Linked DNA regions of Anolis sagrei. The protein of the gene in region 2 interacts with the protein of the main gene of each other region in a pairwise test. Links are inferred from orthologs where the notes say so. Each region holds a gene or a part of one and is shown on either strand. Other genes may lie near its edges.

Region 1 (8,010 bases), on a different chromosome or scaffold from region 2:
AAGAAAGCAATTTTTTTCACTTTCTCTTCTTTTTCCGTTCTTTTTGCACATTTTTGCACTTATATTGATTCTTCTCTTTGGGCAATGAACGAAAGGGAGGAGCAATCAAGCCATGTTTCTTCCTACTTTTTCCCCTTTATGTATGTTTCTATTTCTTTTTAGACCAGTTTAAGAACTTTTAATTTAAAAAATGGGGTGAAAAAAAGCAATAAATACATTTTCTTTCCAATAATATTAACAACAAATTTTATTTCTTTATTCCCTTTTCCTCTCTTCTACTCCTCTTCTTTCCTCTATCTGATCTATCTATCTGATCTATCTATAAAATTATATATATATGTGTGTGTGTGTGTTTGTATACACCGATACATTCCCTTTTGAAAGTAATTTGGAAAAAAAGCAATAAAGCCATTTTCTTACTATAAGAAGTAGAAAAAATGGGGAGAAAAAAGCAATAAATCATTTTTCTTTCCAATAATAATAATAATAATAATAATACATATTATTTGTTTATTCCCCTTTTCTCTCTTTTGCTCTTCTTAATTCCTATTTATTTATCTATAAAAACAAAACTGAAACTTAATAATTGGTATTCTTAAAAGCTAATCACAAAAGTGAAACTTCATCATTATTATTGATATATGTATCTTTAAAGTGAAACATTATTATTATTATTGCCACAGTGTTTGCCATTTCTCTTTTAAATAAATTAAAAACATTAGAGAGGTGTCTAATAGGGATATATTATTATTGTTACATTAAATAAATTAGAGAGATACGCATATATTAATATTATTAAATTACATATAATATGTATATGTTATTATTAAATTAAGTATAGGGAGATATTAATAATTATATATATATATATACATTAGAGATATATGTATATATCATTATCATATATATATATATATATATATATATAATTAAACAGATATATATTTTGTTATTAAATTAAATAAATGAGACATGTATATATTATTATTATTAAATATATACATATGTATAATTACGGTATATTATTGTATTAGAGAAATATATAATATGGATGTATTATTATTCTTAAATAAATTTGACAGATCAGTATCTATATTTTACTATTATTAAATTAAATATATTAGATATCTTATTATTATTATTAAATTTGAGAGATAATATGGAGACACACACACATATATATTATTAGATATGTGCAATTAACAATTGGAATGGCTGTGGACCACGATTTCAGATTATGTGATTTTTTAATGTTTATATTAAGATGTTTTAATTCTGTGTCTTAATGTTTAAATGCTGCTTATGTTTCATGGTTCAATGTGGTTTTAATTCATAGTATGTTACTGTTTGATTTTATGTTTTGGTTTTTCAGATGTATGTTTGGCATTGAATTTTGCAATGATTATGTTGGAAACCGCTTGAGTCCCCTCAGGGGTGAGAAAAGCAGTATATAAATACAGTAAATAAACAGATAGATACGATAGGTGTATATATATATATATATATATATATATATATAATAAATTAGAGATACATAATATGGATATATTATTATTACATTAGATATCTATATAAATAAAAATGTAATGTTCGTTTGTGGGATTAACAGAACTCAAAAACCACTGGACGAATTGACACCAAATTTGGACACAAGACACCTAACAACCCAATGTACGTCCTTCACTAAAAAAAAATAAATGATTTTGTCATTTGGGAGTTGCAGTTGCTAGGATTTATAGTTCACCTACAATCGAAAAGCATTCTGAACCCCACCAACGATGGAATTGAACCAAACTTGGCACACAGTTCTCCCATGACCAACAGAAAATACTGCAAGGGTTTGGTGGGCAGTGTTCTTGGGTTTTGGAGGTGTTGTTCACCTACATCCAGAGATCACTTTGGACTCAAACAATGATGGATCTGGACCAAACTCTACACGAATACTCAATATGCCCAAATGTGAACACTGGTGGAGTTTGGGGAAAATATAATCTTAACATTTGGGAGTTGTAGTTGCTGAGATTTATAGTTCACCTACAATCACAGAGCATTCTGAACCCCACCAACGATAGAATTGGACCAAACCTCCCACACAGAACCCTCATGTCGGCAACGCGTGGCAGGGGATGGCTAGTATATATATATACATTTTACTATTTTTATTATTAAGAGAGATAATATGATATATTATTAAATATTAAATTACATAAATGTGAGATTGATATATTATTAAATAAATTAAGAGACATAAAATGATACATTATTATTAAATTTTATATATATATATATAATTAGATAGAAAATGTATATTTTACTATTATTATTAAATAAAATAAATGAGATATAAACATATTTTTCTTCTTATATAAATTAGAGAGACATCTATATTTTACTATTATTATTAAATTACATAAACGAGAGACGGAGATATTATCCTTATTATTAGAGAGATATAATATTTACATTTTACTATTATTATTATTACATTATATTGGAGATATATAACATGGATATGGAATAGTAATGATTAAATTAAATTAGGGAGATATATAATATGGATATATGATTATTTTTATTCTTAAATAAATTAGACAATGTAATATTTATATTTATTATTATTATTATTAAATTACATACATGAGATTGATATATTATTAAATAAAGACATACATATATATATACACTATTAAATCAAATCATATATATATATATATATATATATTAGATATTATATATATATATATATATATATATATAAAACTATTATGAAGTTAAATAAGTGAGGCGTGTGCCTGTGGCGCAAGCCCCTCCAAAAGGTGCAAGGCCAACGGAGGCCCTGTGTTCCCCTCAGGAAAACGACGCCTTCCCTCAATTAGTCGCGCATTAGTCGCGCAATGGAGGGCTTTACCTCTCACGGGGCCCTTCGAGGCCGGCCTGCCTTCCTTCCTCGGGGCCCGGGCTCCTCAGCATGGGTGGGGGCTCGCCCTGTTGCCCCAAAGCCCCTCCATTGGCTGTTGTCTCTTTAAACCTCTTTCTGCCTTCTCCTCCCTGAGAGCGAGAGCGACGCCGCTACGTCAGCGGCGTAGCCTCGGAGTCGCCCTATAGCCGTGACGTCACGCCGCCGGCGCAACCTGCTTCCAGAATACCCGCCTCCGCGCTGACTGCGTGAGAGGCCCCTCTCTGGACGCAGGGCGCATGCGCGGAAAAGGACAGGCCCAAAGAGGCCGGAAAAAGCGGAGAGAACAAAGAGGAGAGGGCGAAATGGGAACTTTAATAAACGTCCGGTTCCCTTTGAGAATGCATAGGCATCATCCATTTGAGTGGAGAAAAAAGAGAAAAAATACAGTCTCCTCACTGCATAGTTACCCACTAAATGGTTCTTTTAAAATGTTGGACTCGACGCTGAGGAAGAAAGACGGAGTATAAATAAGAAATAAGACTGTACTGTCGAAGGCTTTCATGGCTGGAATCACTCAGTTCTTGTGGGTTTTTCCGGGCTATATGGCCATGTTCTAGAGGCATTTCTCCTGACGTTTCGCCTGCATCTACGGCAAGCATCCTCAGAGGTGAGGTCTGCTGGAGCTGGGAAAAAAGGGGTTTATATATCTGTGGAATGACCAGGGTGAGACAAAGGGCTTTTGTAAGTTGGGCTGGGTGTGAATCTTTCAACTGACCACCCTGATTAGCATACAATGGGCTGACTGTGCCTGGAGCAAACTCCTCTTGAAAGGTGATTAGATGTCCCTGCCTGTTTTTCTCTCTGCTGTTTTTGCTGTTGCAATTTTAGAGTTTTTTAATACTGGTAGCCAGATTTTGTTCATTTTCATGGTTTCTTCCTTTCTGTTGAAATTGTCCACCTGCTTGTGGATTTCAATGGCTTCTCTGTGTAGTCTGACATGGTGGTTGTTGGTGTGGTCCAGCATTTCTGTGTTCTCAGATAATATGCTGTGTCCAGGTTGGTTCATCAGGTGCTCTGCTATGGCTGACTTCTCTGGTTGGAGTAGTCTGCAGTGCCTTTCATGTTCCTTGATTCGTGTTTGGGCAATGCTGCGTTTGGTGGTCCCTATGTAGACTTGTCCACAGCTGCATGGTATACGGTAGACTCCTGCAGAAGTGAGAGGATCCCTCTTGTCCTTTGTTGAACGTAGCATTTGTTGGATTTTCTTGGTGGGTCTGTAGATTGTTTGTATGTTGTGTTTCCTCATCAGCTTCCCTATGCGGTCAGTGGTTCCCTTGATGTATGGCAAAAACACTTTTCCCTTGGGTGGATCTTCGTCTTTATTCTCATGGCTTGTTCTCAGTCTTGCAGCTCTTCTGATGTCTGAGGTGGAGTCTCCATTGGCCTGTACAGCCCAGTTGAGGTGGTTCAGTTCATCTTGGAGGAGGTGGGGTTTGCAGATTCTTTTTGCACGGTCTGCCAAGGCTTTAATGGTGCTTCTTTTTTGACTTGGGTGATGGTTGGAGTTTTTATGTAGATATCTATCTGTGTGTGTGGGTTTTCTGTAGACGGTGTGACCCAATTGTTGATCTGGTTTGTGGATGACTAGGACATCTAGAAAAGGCAGTCTTCCTTCCTTTTCTTTATCCATAGTGAACTGGATGTTTGGGTGGATGCTGTTAAGATGGTCCAGGAACCTGTTGAGTTCTTCTTCTCCATGGCTCCAAATGGTGAAAGTGTCATCCACATATCTGAACCATATAGTGGGCTTTTTGAAATAAGACTGTATACGTTGATTGGGAAGCTTTGCATTGGTTTCTTTTGGGAGACGCCTGCCACGCCAATGGAGGCTCCTAATGGGATCCGGAAGTAGTGGTTGTGCGCCGAAACCGGCTCTCTTTGGTTAGAGCGCGCTTTGAGAATCCGGCTGGCCTGAGTGGGAGGGGCGTAGAGGCGGCCTGAGTGGGAGGGGCGTAGAGGCGGGAGGGGCTTAGAGGCGGCGAGGGGAGGAGCTATCCGCTTTGCGACAGAAACCGCGCTTTACAGCTTGCCCTTTAACTCTTTCTCGTCCAGATGGTTTTCAAACCTAGAAGGAAGCTTTGGGAAGGAATATCTCTCCCTGCTTATATATGATATTTGAATATGTGCATACACACACAAACATAGTGATAGATAAATATATATTGGATATATGGGTGTGTGTATATATATACACACACATATACAAATATATATGTTTGTGTATATATATATATGTATATAAATTTCTCCAATATATATTTTTCTATCACTATATCTATGTAGGGGCCCCCGGTGGCGCAGTGGGTTAAAGCACTGAGCTGCTGAGCTTGTTGATCGAAAGGTCGCAGGTTCGATTCCGGGGAGCGGCGTGAACTTCCTCTGTCAGCCCTAGCTTCTGCCAACCTAGCAGTTTGAAAACATGCAAATGTGAGTAGATCAATAGGTACCGCTCCAGCGGGAAGGTAACGGCACTCCATGAGGTCATGCCGGCCACATGACCTTGGAGGTGTCTACGGACAACGCTGGCTCTCCGGCTTAGAAATGGAGATGAGCACCACACCCCAGAGTCAGACATGACTGGACTTAATGTCAGGGGACTACCTTTACCTTTTATATCTATGTATGTGTGTGTACATTGCATTGTAGGTCACTTTTGAAAGAGAAAAAAGGGCATGTGAATAAATATATGCTATTTACAGATGTGCCAAATGTTTCAATGCTTTATCGGTTATTGGTATTATGAAGCAGATCTATAAAAATAGCTTTGACTATAACGTATCTCAACACATAATAGTCACACCTTGTCAAAATGATAATAATAATAATAATAAAAACTTTATTTGTACCCCGCTACCATCTCCCAAGGGACTCGGTGCGGCTTACATGAGGCCGAGCCCAAAAACAACAAAAAGGGGTGCGACTATTATATGAAGAAAAAACTGCCTTTAGTCTCCGTTTCCTGTTGTTTAAATAAAGTGCTTTACTTCCAAAAGGGGAGGAGAAGAGGAGGAGGTCCAGTCTCAAACAAGCATTTTGGTTTCTGTTTGTTTGTTTGTTTAAACTGCGGAGCCATTTCAGGAAAAATTCCCCTTCCTTTCCCGAAGGCAAACAGTTTAAAAATGGAGGTTTCTGGAGCTCCACTCTTCTGTCCTCCCTCTGAGGCCTGAAGGCAGTTCAAAAAATCCTGAAATTGCTGTCCCTGGAACTCGGATCTTCATAGAATCGTAGAACCATAGAGTTGGAAGAGACCTCATGGGCCATCCAGTCCAACCCCTTGCTGCCAAGCAGGAAAATCACATTCAAAGCACCCCTGACAGATGACCATCCAGCCTCTGTTTAAAAGCCTCCAAAGAAGGAGCCTCCACCACACTCCGGGGCAGAGTTCCACTGCTGAACAGCTCTCACAATGAGGAAGTTCTTCCTAATGTTCAGGTGGAAGTTCTTCCTAATGTTCAGGCCTTTCCTGTAGTTTGAAACCATTGTTCTATTGTGTCCTAGTCTGCAGGGCAGCAGAAAACAAGCCTGCTCCCCCCTCCCTATGACTTCTCCTCACATATTTATACATGGCTACCATCATGTCTCCTCTCAGCCTTCTCTTCTGCAGGCTAAACATACCATACATTAGCCTCTCCTCATAGGGCTTGTTCTCCAGACCCTTAATCATTTGGTTGGCTTTCCTCTGGACACATTCCAGCTTAGAGTCAGCATCTCCCTTCAATTGTGGTGCCCAGAATTGGACACAGTGTGATTCCAGGTAAAGTGAACTGACTAAGACAGAAGAGAGGGGTAACATGACTTCTCTAGATTCCTATTGATGCAAGCCAAAATCCCATTGGCTTTTTAAGCTGCCGTATGACATTGCTGGCTCATGTTTCCCTTCCTGTCCAAGAGGACTCTTTTTCACACATACTGCTGTCGAGCTGAGCGTCTCCCATTCTGGATCTTTGACTTTAATTTTTTTCTGCCTAAGTGGAGTATCTTGCATTTGTCCCTGTTGAACTTCATTTTGTTAGTTTTGGCCATTCATCTCTCTAATCTGTCAAGATTGTTCTGTATACTGCTCCTGTCTTCTGGAGTATTGGCTCTCCCAATTTGGTGTCATTTGCAAACTTGATGATCATGCCTACTAACCCTTCATCTAAGTCATTAATCAAGATGCTGAACAGGACCAGGCTGAGGACGGAACCCTGCGGCACTCCACTTGTCACTTGTTTCCAGGATGAAGAGGAAGCTTTACATATATTTCATCACATAATAGTCACACCTTCTTACCAACAAAAAGGGGTGCAACTATTAAATGAAGGGAAAAATTGCCTTTATTTGCCATTTTCTGTTGTTGTTTAAACAAAATGCTTTACTTCCAAAAGGGGAGGAGGAGGTTAATTTCAGGATAACTTCCCCTTTCTTTCCCAAAAGCAAATAGTTTAAAACTATAAAATGGAGGTCTCTGGAGCTTCACTCTTCTCTCATCTCTCCGAGGCCTGAAGGCAATTAAAAAACCCCAAAACTGAGATCTCTGGAACCCCATTATGTGAGGAAGTATGGTAGATGCTTTAAAGGCAAACAAACTCACAATAAAGTCCCCATAATAGTGATACAGGCAGTCTCCAAGTCGTGAACAAGATAGGTTCTGTAGGTTTGTTCTTAAGTTGAATTTGTATGTAACTCGGATAAGGGATGCTTTTAAGTGGAACTCCAGCCAAGGTATTTATTGTTTTAGCTTTGAATAGCATAGGGAAGGGTGAACACCCATATTGTGTTTGCTTTGCTGTCTGTGTCCCTCTTTAGAAGATTTCCCCTCCCTTTCTGTGATAGTTCGATTTGGCTTGTTGTGGAAACAAGCATTGGTGAGAAAGCTTCAGTGGAGACACCTTTTCCCGATGATAATCTCTTTCAGAAGTGAACTTCCCTTCCAAGGGGTAGATTTCAATAACTTCCAGTTGTCTCAAGCCCTTTCTATATTAATAGACATAATAGTTGAAAGTGGTTTGGATAAAGACTGTCAGTGTTTGTCCATTTGTGGAGGAAAGAAACATACCTCCAGGTTAAAA
Region 2 (7,128 bases):
TTGTAAACCTCCGAGTCCTCGAGGAGATAGAGTGGGATATAAACACAGCTTTATTATTATTACATATACATCTTGGAGATGGGACTCAAATCCAGACACAAAGTTCACTTAGAGGTCTTTATATATAGCCTGAATTTCATACACAATAGATTCGATCATGTTCTGCACGAAACAAGGTTTGCATATCATGAACCACCAGAAAGCCTATTGGATTTCATAGATTATAACAAGTTACTATCCAAAAAGAAAAGAACACTCAGGGTACATCTACACCAGGCCTGGGCCAACTTGGGCCCTCCAGGTGTTTTGGACTTCCAACTCCCACCATTCCTAACTGCCTCAGGCTCCTTTTCTTTGCCCCCTCAGCCGCTTTACTGCAATATTACTAGTAATATTATGTGCAATATATAATATACAATTACTACATTATTATATATTACATTGTACAATATTATTACATACTATACTGTACTAAATTATTATAGTATTATATTTATTTACGACATTTATATCTTGCTCTTCTCACCCCGAAGGGGACTCAGAGCAGCTTACAATGTATTATATTATTAGCATAGCACAATATTAGTATTATGTATTACTATATTGTACTATGCTTTATATTACATGTAATATAAAGTATAAAATATTATATTGTATTATTATTATATTGTATAACATTATAATATTATCAATATTATATGTGTATACAATATATTATTAGCACAGCACAATATTAGTATTATATATTACTATATTGTACTATACTACTATACTGTAATATTATTAGGAATATTACATGTATTATAAAGTATATAATTATATTGTATTGTATTATATTGTATTACATTACATTATTACCTTTCCATACATATCTCTCCTTATGAACTATTTAGGACTCTAAGATCTTCTGGGGAGGCCTTGCTCTAGGTCCTGCCTCCTTCACTGATGTGTTTGGCTGGAACGAGAGGCTGGCCTTCTCAGTGGTGCCCCCTTGGCGGTGGAATGCCCTTCCCACGGATATATGATTGGCTCCTTCCTTCTGACATTCCATAAAAAGGTTAAAACCTGGCTTTTCGAGCAAGTTTTTGCTAACATAACATAATCAGGTAAAGATGAAATTATGGGACTTGACAATGCAATCTGGATAACGATTTTAGTAAGGAGATGCTGTTGACTATGTTTCTATGGCTTTGTATGGTTTTATATTATATGCTATAAGTTTTTAATTGTATTTATATTTGTTTTTAATTTTACTTTTATAATTGTGGAGGTATTGAATTGTTGCCGACTGTGAACTGGCCTGAGTCGCCTCCGGGCTGAGAAAGGCGGTATATAAATATGGTAAATAAATAAATATGTGTATATAATATATTAACAATATTACAGTATACCATGTAGCAACAGTCAGGACTGACCACGGAACAACAGACTGGTTCAAGATTGGGAATGGCGTACGGCAAGGCTGCATCCTCTCACCCAACCTTTTTAACTTGTATGCAGAACACATCATGCGATGTGCGGGGCTGGATGAATGCAAAGCTGGGGTGAAAATTGCTGGAAGAAACATTAACAACCTCAGATATGCAGATGACACCACTCTGATGGCCGAAAGCGAGGAGGAGCTGAGGAGCCTTCTAATCAAGGTGAAAGAAGAAAGCGCAAAAGCCGGGTTGCAGCTAAACGTCAAAAAAACCAAGATTATGGCAACAAGAATGATTGACAACTGGAAAATAGAGGGAGAAACCGTGGAGGCCGTGACAGACTTTGTATTTCTAGGTGCAAAGATTACTGCAGATGCAGACTGTAGCCAGGAAATCAGAAGACGCTTACTTCTTGGGAGGAGAGCAATGTCCAGTCTCGATAAAATAGTGAAGAGTAGAGACATCAGACTGGCAACAAAGATCCGCCTAGTCAAAGCCATGGTATTCCCTGTAGTCACCTACGGATGTGAGAGCTGGACCTTAGGGAAGGCTGAGCGAAGGAAGATCGATGCTTTTGAGCTGTGGTGTTGGAGGAAAGTGCTGAGAGTGCCTTGGACTGCGAGAAGATCCAACCAGTCCATCCTCCAGGAAATAAAGCCCGACTGCTCACTGGAGGGAAAGATACTAGAGACAAAGTTGAAGTACTTTGGCCACATCATGAGGAGACAGGAAAGCCTAGAGAAGACAATTATGCTGGGGAAAGTGGAAGGCAAAAGGAAGAGGGGCCGACCAAGGGCAAGATGGATGGATGGCATCCTTGAAGAGACTGGACTGACCTTGAGGGAGCTGGGGGTGGTAACGGCCGACAGGGAGCTCTGGCGTAGGCTGGTCCATGAGGTCATGAAGAGTCGGAGACGACTGAACGAATGAACAACACACAGTATACCACTATATGTAATAATATTAATATTACATATAATATAAAACATTATTATTTTGTATTATTATTATATTGTATTACATTATATTATCAATATTATATGTGTATACAATATTTTATTAGCACAGCACAACTGTACTATATTGTTACCTGCTGTAATGCAACCTGAGCCCTGCTACATGCACAATGGAGGACCTTCTTATAGTAACACCAGAGACACTCCAAGTGGCCAGTTACTGGTATTTTATTTATTTATCGTGTCAGTATCAACCAGATAATTGTGTTGCTGCAAGAAGGTCCTCCATTGTGCATGTGGCGTGGCCCAAGTTGCGTTGCAGCAGGTGGTCTGTGGTTTGCTCTTCTCCACACTCGCATGTCGTGGATTCCACTTTGTTGCCCCATTTCTTAAGGTTGGCTCTGCATCTCGTGGTGCCAGAACGCAGTCTGTTCAGCGCCTTCCAAGTCGCCTAGTTTTCTATGCGCTCAGCAGGCCCGTAGCCAGGATTTGGATTCGGGGGGGGGGGGCTGAGTTTGTTTCGGGGGGGGGCTGAATTCGAGTGAAAGAGAGTCTACCCTAGCAAAACTTTTGTATCGTTACCCCAATACCCCCATGCATATGGGATATATTGAGTATGGTGATCAGATCATGATATGAATAAACGTAACAGTTTAAATAATGCACCGGTAAGGCCTTTTCACGAACCACCAAGAGAATTTCGGGGGGGGGGGGGGCTGAAGCCCCCCAAGCCCCCTCGCCCCCCGCTACATGCTTGCCGCTCCGGGGGGAGTCTCTCATTTGATATCAGCCATTGATTGAGGTTCTGGGGTTTGAGCCTGCCACTTTTGGACTCTCGCTTGCTGAGGTGTTCCAGCGAGTGTCTCTGTAGATCTTAGAAAACGATTTCTTGATTTAAGTTGTTGACGTGCTGGCTGATACCCAAACAACAGATGAGCTGGAGATGTCTCTGCCTTGGTCCTTTCACTATTGGCTGCTACTTCCCGGCGTATGTCAGGTGGTGCAATACCAGCTAAACAGTGTAATTTCTCCAGGGGTGTAGGGCACAGACTGGTCAAAAGACATTTAATCAACTACCAAGCTTGCAAACTTTGTGTTTTGTCTGTTTGTTAAAAAATGCAATACAACTGGTTTTGGGGGGGGGGGGGGGGTTGCTCCTGACACGATAAATAAATATTATATAGCTTAAGCGGCTGAGGGAGGAAAAGGAAGGGATCTGAGGCTGTTAGGAATGGTGAGAGTTGGAAGTCCAAAACACCTGGAAGGAAGGCCCAGGCCTGGTGTAGCTGCACCCTCAGTACCACCAAAGAGGAGCAAGATACGGGCCTAACAGTGAGGAGAAACCGAGGAGCCACTCCTTCCTGAGAAAAAGGAGGCAGAAGAAGGGCCCCGAAGCTCCCTCAACGTCCACACACCTCAAGTCTCCTTAGAGGGCTCCAACACCATCACCACCACCACTTCCTCCTCCACGATTCAAAATGGCGGCCGGGCGAAAGAAGTAACCCAACAGGCAAGTGAAAGGAAACGCGCCTCGAGCTACGTCACAAGCCGAGTGACAGTTGGGCCGTCTGCGCCCGCGCCGCTTGGCCCCGCCCCCTCACCACCCACACACAAATCCTCCCAGAAGCCACCGCGCATTGAACAGCGACGAGAGGAGGGAGTGAGGAAAAGAAACCAACCAGGGACTACATTTCCCAGCAATCCCTCCGAGTGGGAGGGGGAGGGAGCGAGCGCGGAAAGGGCTTGGCGGAGAGTGGTCTAGCCTGCCGATAGCGCGAGCTCGGCGAGTAAGATGGCGACGGAGGGAGCAGTTCTTCTCTGAGGAGGAAGAAGAGGAAGGAAAGGAAAGGAAGGAAGGAGAATGGTTGGCTCCACAATCTCTCGCTGAGGGGGAAAGCTGCACTTGCCGGCAGTGGCCGAAAGGGGGCCGCGGAAGGAAGGGGCCTCGAAGAAGGAGAAGGAGAAGAAGGTGTCAGTCGGTCAGGTAGCGCCGCCTCTGCTTCGCTCGCTCTCGGCTCTTTGGCGGCGGCCAACGACGTCTCCATGTCGGACAACCAAAGCTGGAATTCCTCAGGCTCCGAGGAGGATCCCGAGACCGAGTCTGGGCCGCCTGTTGAACTCTGCGGAGTCCTCAGTAAGGTAAGAAGGAGGAGGAGGAGGAGAAGCGCCTGTTTTCCTTCCGCAACAGACTGAATGAGAGGTTTGTGGTGTGTCCCTCCGTCGAGGCGCCTCACCTGAGGAGAGGAAATGGAGGAAGGTCCTGCTGCGAAAGAGGGCGCGTCTACGCTGCAGATTTAATCCAGTTTGACACCACTTGAACTGCCATGTGATGGAATCAAGGGAGTTGTAGTATTATACGGCCTCTATCCCCTCCATACTGCGGATTAAGTCCACGCTGCAGATTTAATCCGGTTTGACACCATATGATGGAATCAAGGGAGTTGTAGTTTTAAAAGGCCTTTATCCCCCCCCCCCTCCGTACTGCAGATTAAGTCTAGCTTTAATCCAGTTCAACACCACTTGAACTGTCATGTAATGGAATCAAGGGAGTTGTAGTTTTATAAGGCCTTTATCCCCCCCCCCTGCAGATTAAGTCTAGATTTAATTCAGTTTGACACCACTTGAAATGCCATATGATGTAATCAAGGGAGTTGTAGTTTTACAAAGCCTTAACCCCCCCCCCCCCCCAATTGCAGATTAAGTCTAGATTTAATTCAGTTTGACACCACTTGAAATGCCAAATGATGTAATCAAGGGAGTTGTAGTTTTACAAAGCCTTAACCCCCCCCCCCCAATTGCAGATTAAGTCTAGATTTAATTCAGTTTGACACCACTTGAAATGCCAAATGATGGAATCAAGGGAGTTGTAGTTTGACAAGGCCTCTATCTCCCCCCTTGTACTGCAGATTAAGTCCAGATTTAATTCAGTTTGACACCACTTGAACTGCCATATGATAGAATCAAGGGAGTTGTAGTTTTACAAGATCTTTATTCCCCTCTCTTACTACATTAAGTCCAGATTTAATCCAGTTTGACACCACTTGAATTGCCATATGATGGGATCAAGGGAGTTGTAGTTTTACACGTCGTTAACCCCCCTTTTTTGTAAGAGACTGCTAGTGCCTCAACAAACTACAACTCCCACAATTTATTTATTTAGTTTTACAAGATTTTTATCCCCCCCCCCTTGTACTACAGATTAAGTCTAGATTTAATTCAGTTTGACACCACTTGAAATGCCACATGATGGAATCAAGGGAGTTGTAGTTTTACACGTCATTAACTACCCCCTTTTTTGTATGATAGTGCTAGTGCCTCAACAAACTACAACCCCCACAATTTATTTATTTATATCCCGTTTTATCTCTCCATACAGAGACTCAAAAACATTGCAACTAAAAATATACAATAATAAAACAATATATCATTATATATTATCAGTAGTAATTTATTTATTTATTATTTATTTATTTGGGGTTCTTTTACCCCGCCCTTCTCACCCCGAAGGGGACTCAGGACGGCTTACAAAAGCAAAGGCACAATTTGATGCCTGCATCATAAAGACAATCAAACACAGAATTACATCAATACACAGTTAACAACAAATATACATTATAACCATAAAATCAATAAAACCAAATACAAACCCAATTGCTCCTCTTACATGGTCAGCGTTCGCTACTCATAGATCTATTTTTACGTTCCACTTCATCAATCCTGCTGGTCTTACTCGCCTGGTTGTCTGATTTAGTTGCCGGAGTGGCCAAAGGCCTGGTCCCATAACCAAGTCTTCACCCTTCTCCTAAAGGCGAGGAGGGATGATGATACTTATATTTAGTATATTAGTATTACTATATTTCAATGTTATTATAATATACTATATTGTATTATGATTAGTATTGTATTGTGTTACATTATAATATTATCAATATTGTATGTTTATACAATATATTATGGAGCCCCCAGTGACACAGGTTAAATGGCTGAGCTGCCAAACTTGCTGACCGAAAGGCTGGCGGTTTGAATCCGTGAAGCAGAATGAACTCCTGCTGTTAGGCCCAGATTCTGCCAACCTAGCAAATATGAGTAGATCAATAGGTACCGCTTCAGTAGGAAGGTAATGGCACTCCATGCAGTCATGCCAGCCACATGACCTTGGATAGGTCTGCATACAGTGCCAGCTCTTCAGCTTAGAAATAGAAATGAACACCACCTCCAGAGTCCTACACAACTAGACTTAATGTCAAGGTGAAACCTTTACCTTTTACAATATGAGTTCACAAAGAGTCGGAAGTGACTGAACTAATAAACAAGAAATATTATTAGCATAGCACAATATTAGTATTATACATTACTATATTGTACTATACCACTGAACTGCAATATTATTAGTAATGTTACATGTAATATATAATATACAATTATTATATTATTTTATATTGTACTATAATATTTTTATAAAGTTTTTGCACATAGTATGGATTCCATGTTGGTTCAAGTGTTGACAAACAGGATTGATTCTACAGTGTAGATGAGGTATAGGCAAACTTCGCCCCTTCAGGTGTTTTGGACTTCAGCTTCCACAATTTCTAACAACTGAGGCACTCTGAAAAACAGCCCCAGGACAAGGAGGAATCATAGAGAAGCCCCCCTTAAAGGGGGCGAAAACAGCTCTTAGGACAGGTGTAGGCAAACTAGGGTCCTCCAGGTGTTTTGGACTTCAGCTCCCACAATTCCTAACAAAACACATC

What was found.
Region 1: the proteins of CERT1 (region 2) and CSNK1G2 interact in binary tests that used the Homo sapiens proteins (3 or more experiments, as listed by UniProt). The two-hybrid records come from large-scale screens. The link is inferred for Anolis sagrei from reciprocal best matches to the Homo sapiens genes CERT1 and CSNK1G2.

What each region holds. Positions count from the first base shown.
Region 1 is NC_090034.1:52,782,441-52,790,450, forward strand, and holds the start of CSNK1G2 (casein kinase I), read right to left. Parts: upstream 3,082-8,010; 5' UTR 2,909-3,081; intron 1-2,908. UniProt on the Homo sapiens protein: Serine/threonine-protein kinase. Casein kinases are operationally defined by their preferential utilization of acidic proteins such as caseins as substrates. It can phosphorylate a large number of proteins. Participates in Wnt signaling.
Region 2 is NC_090022.1:263,953,908-263,961,035, reverse strand, and holds the start of CERT1 (ceramide transfer protein), read left to right. Parts: upstream 1-4,018; 5' UTR 4,019-4,420; coding exon 4,421-4,516; intron 4,517-7,128. UniProt on the Homo sapiens protein: Shelters ceramides and diacylglycerol lipids inside its START domain and mediates the intracellular trafficking of ceramides and diacylglycerol lipids in a non-vesicular manner.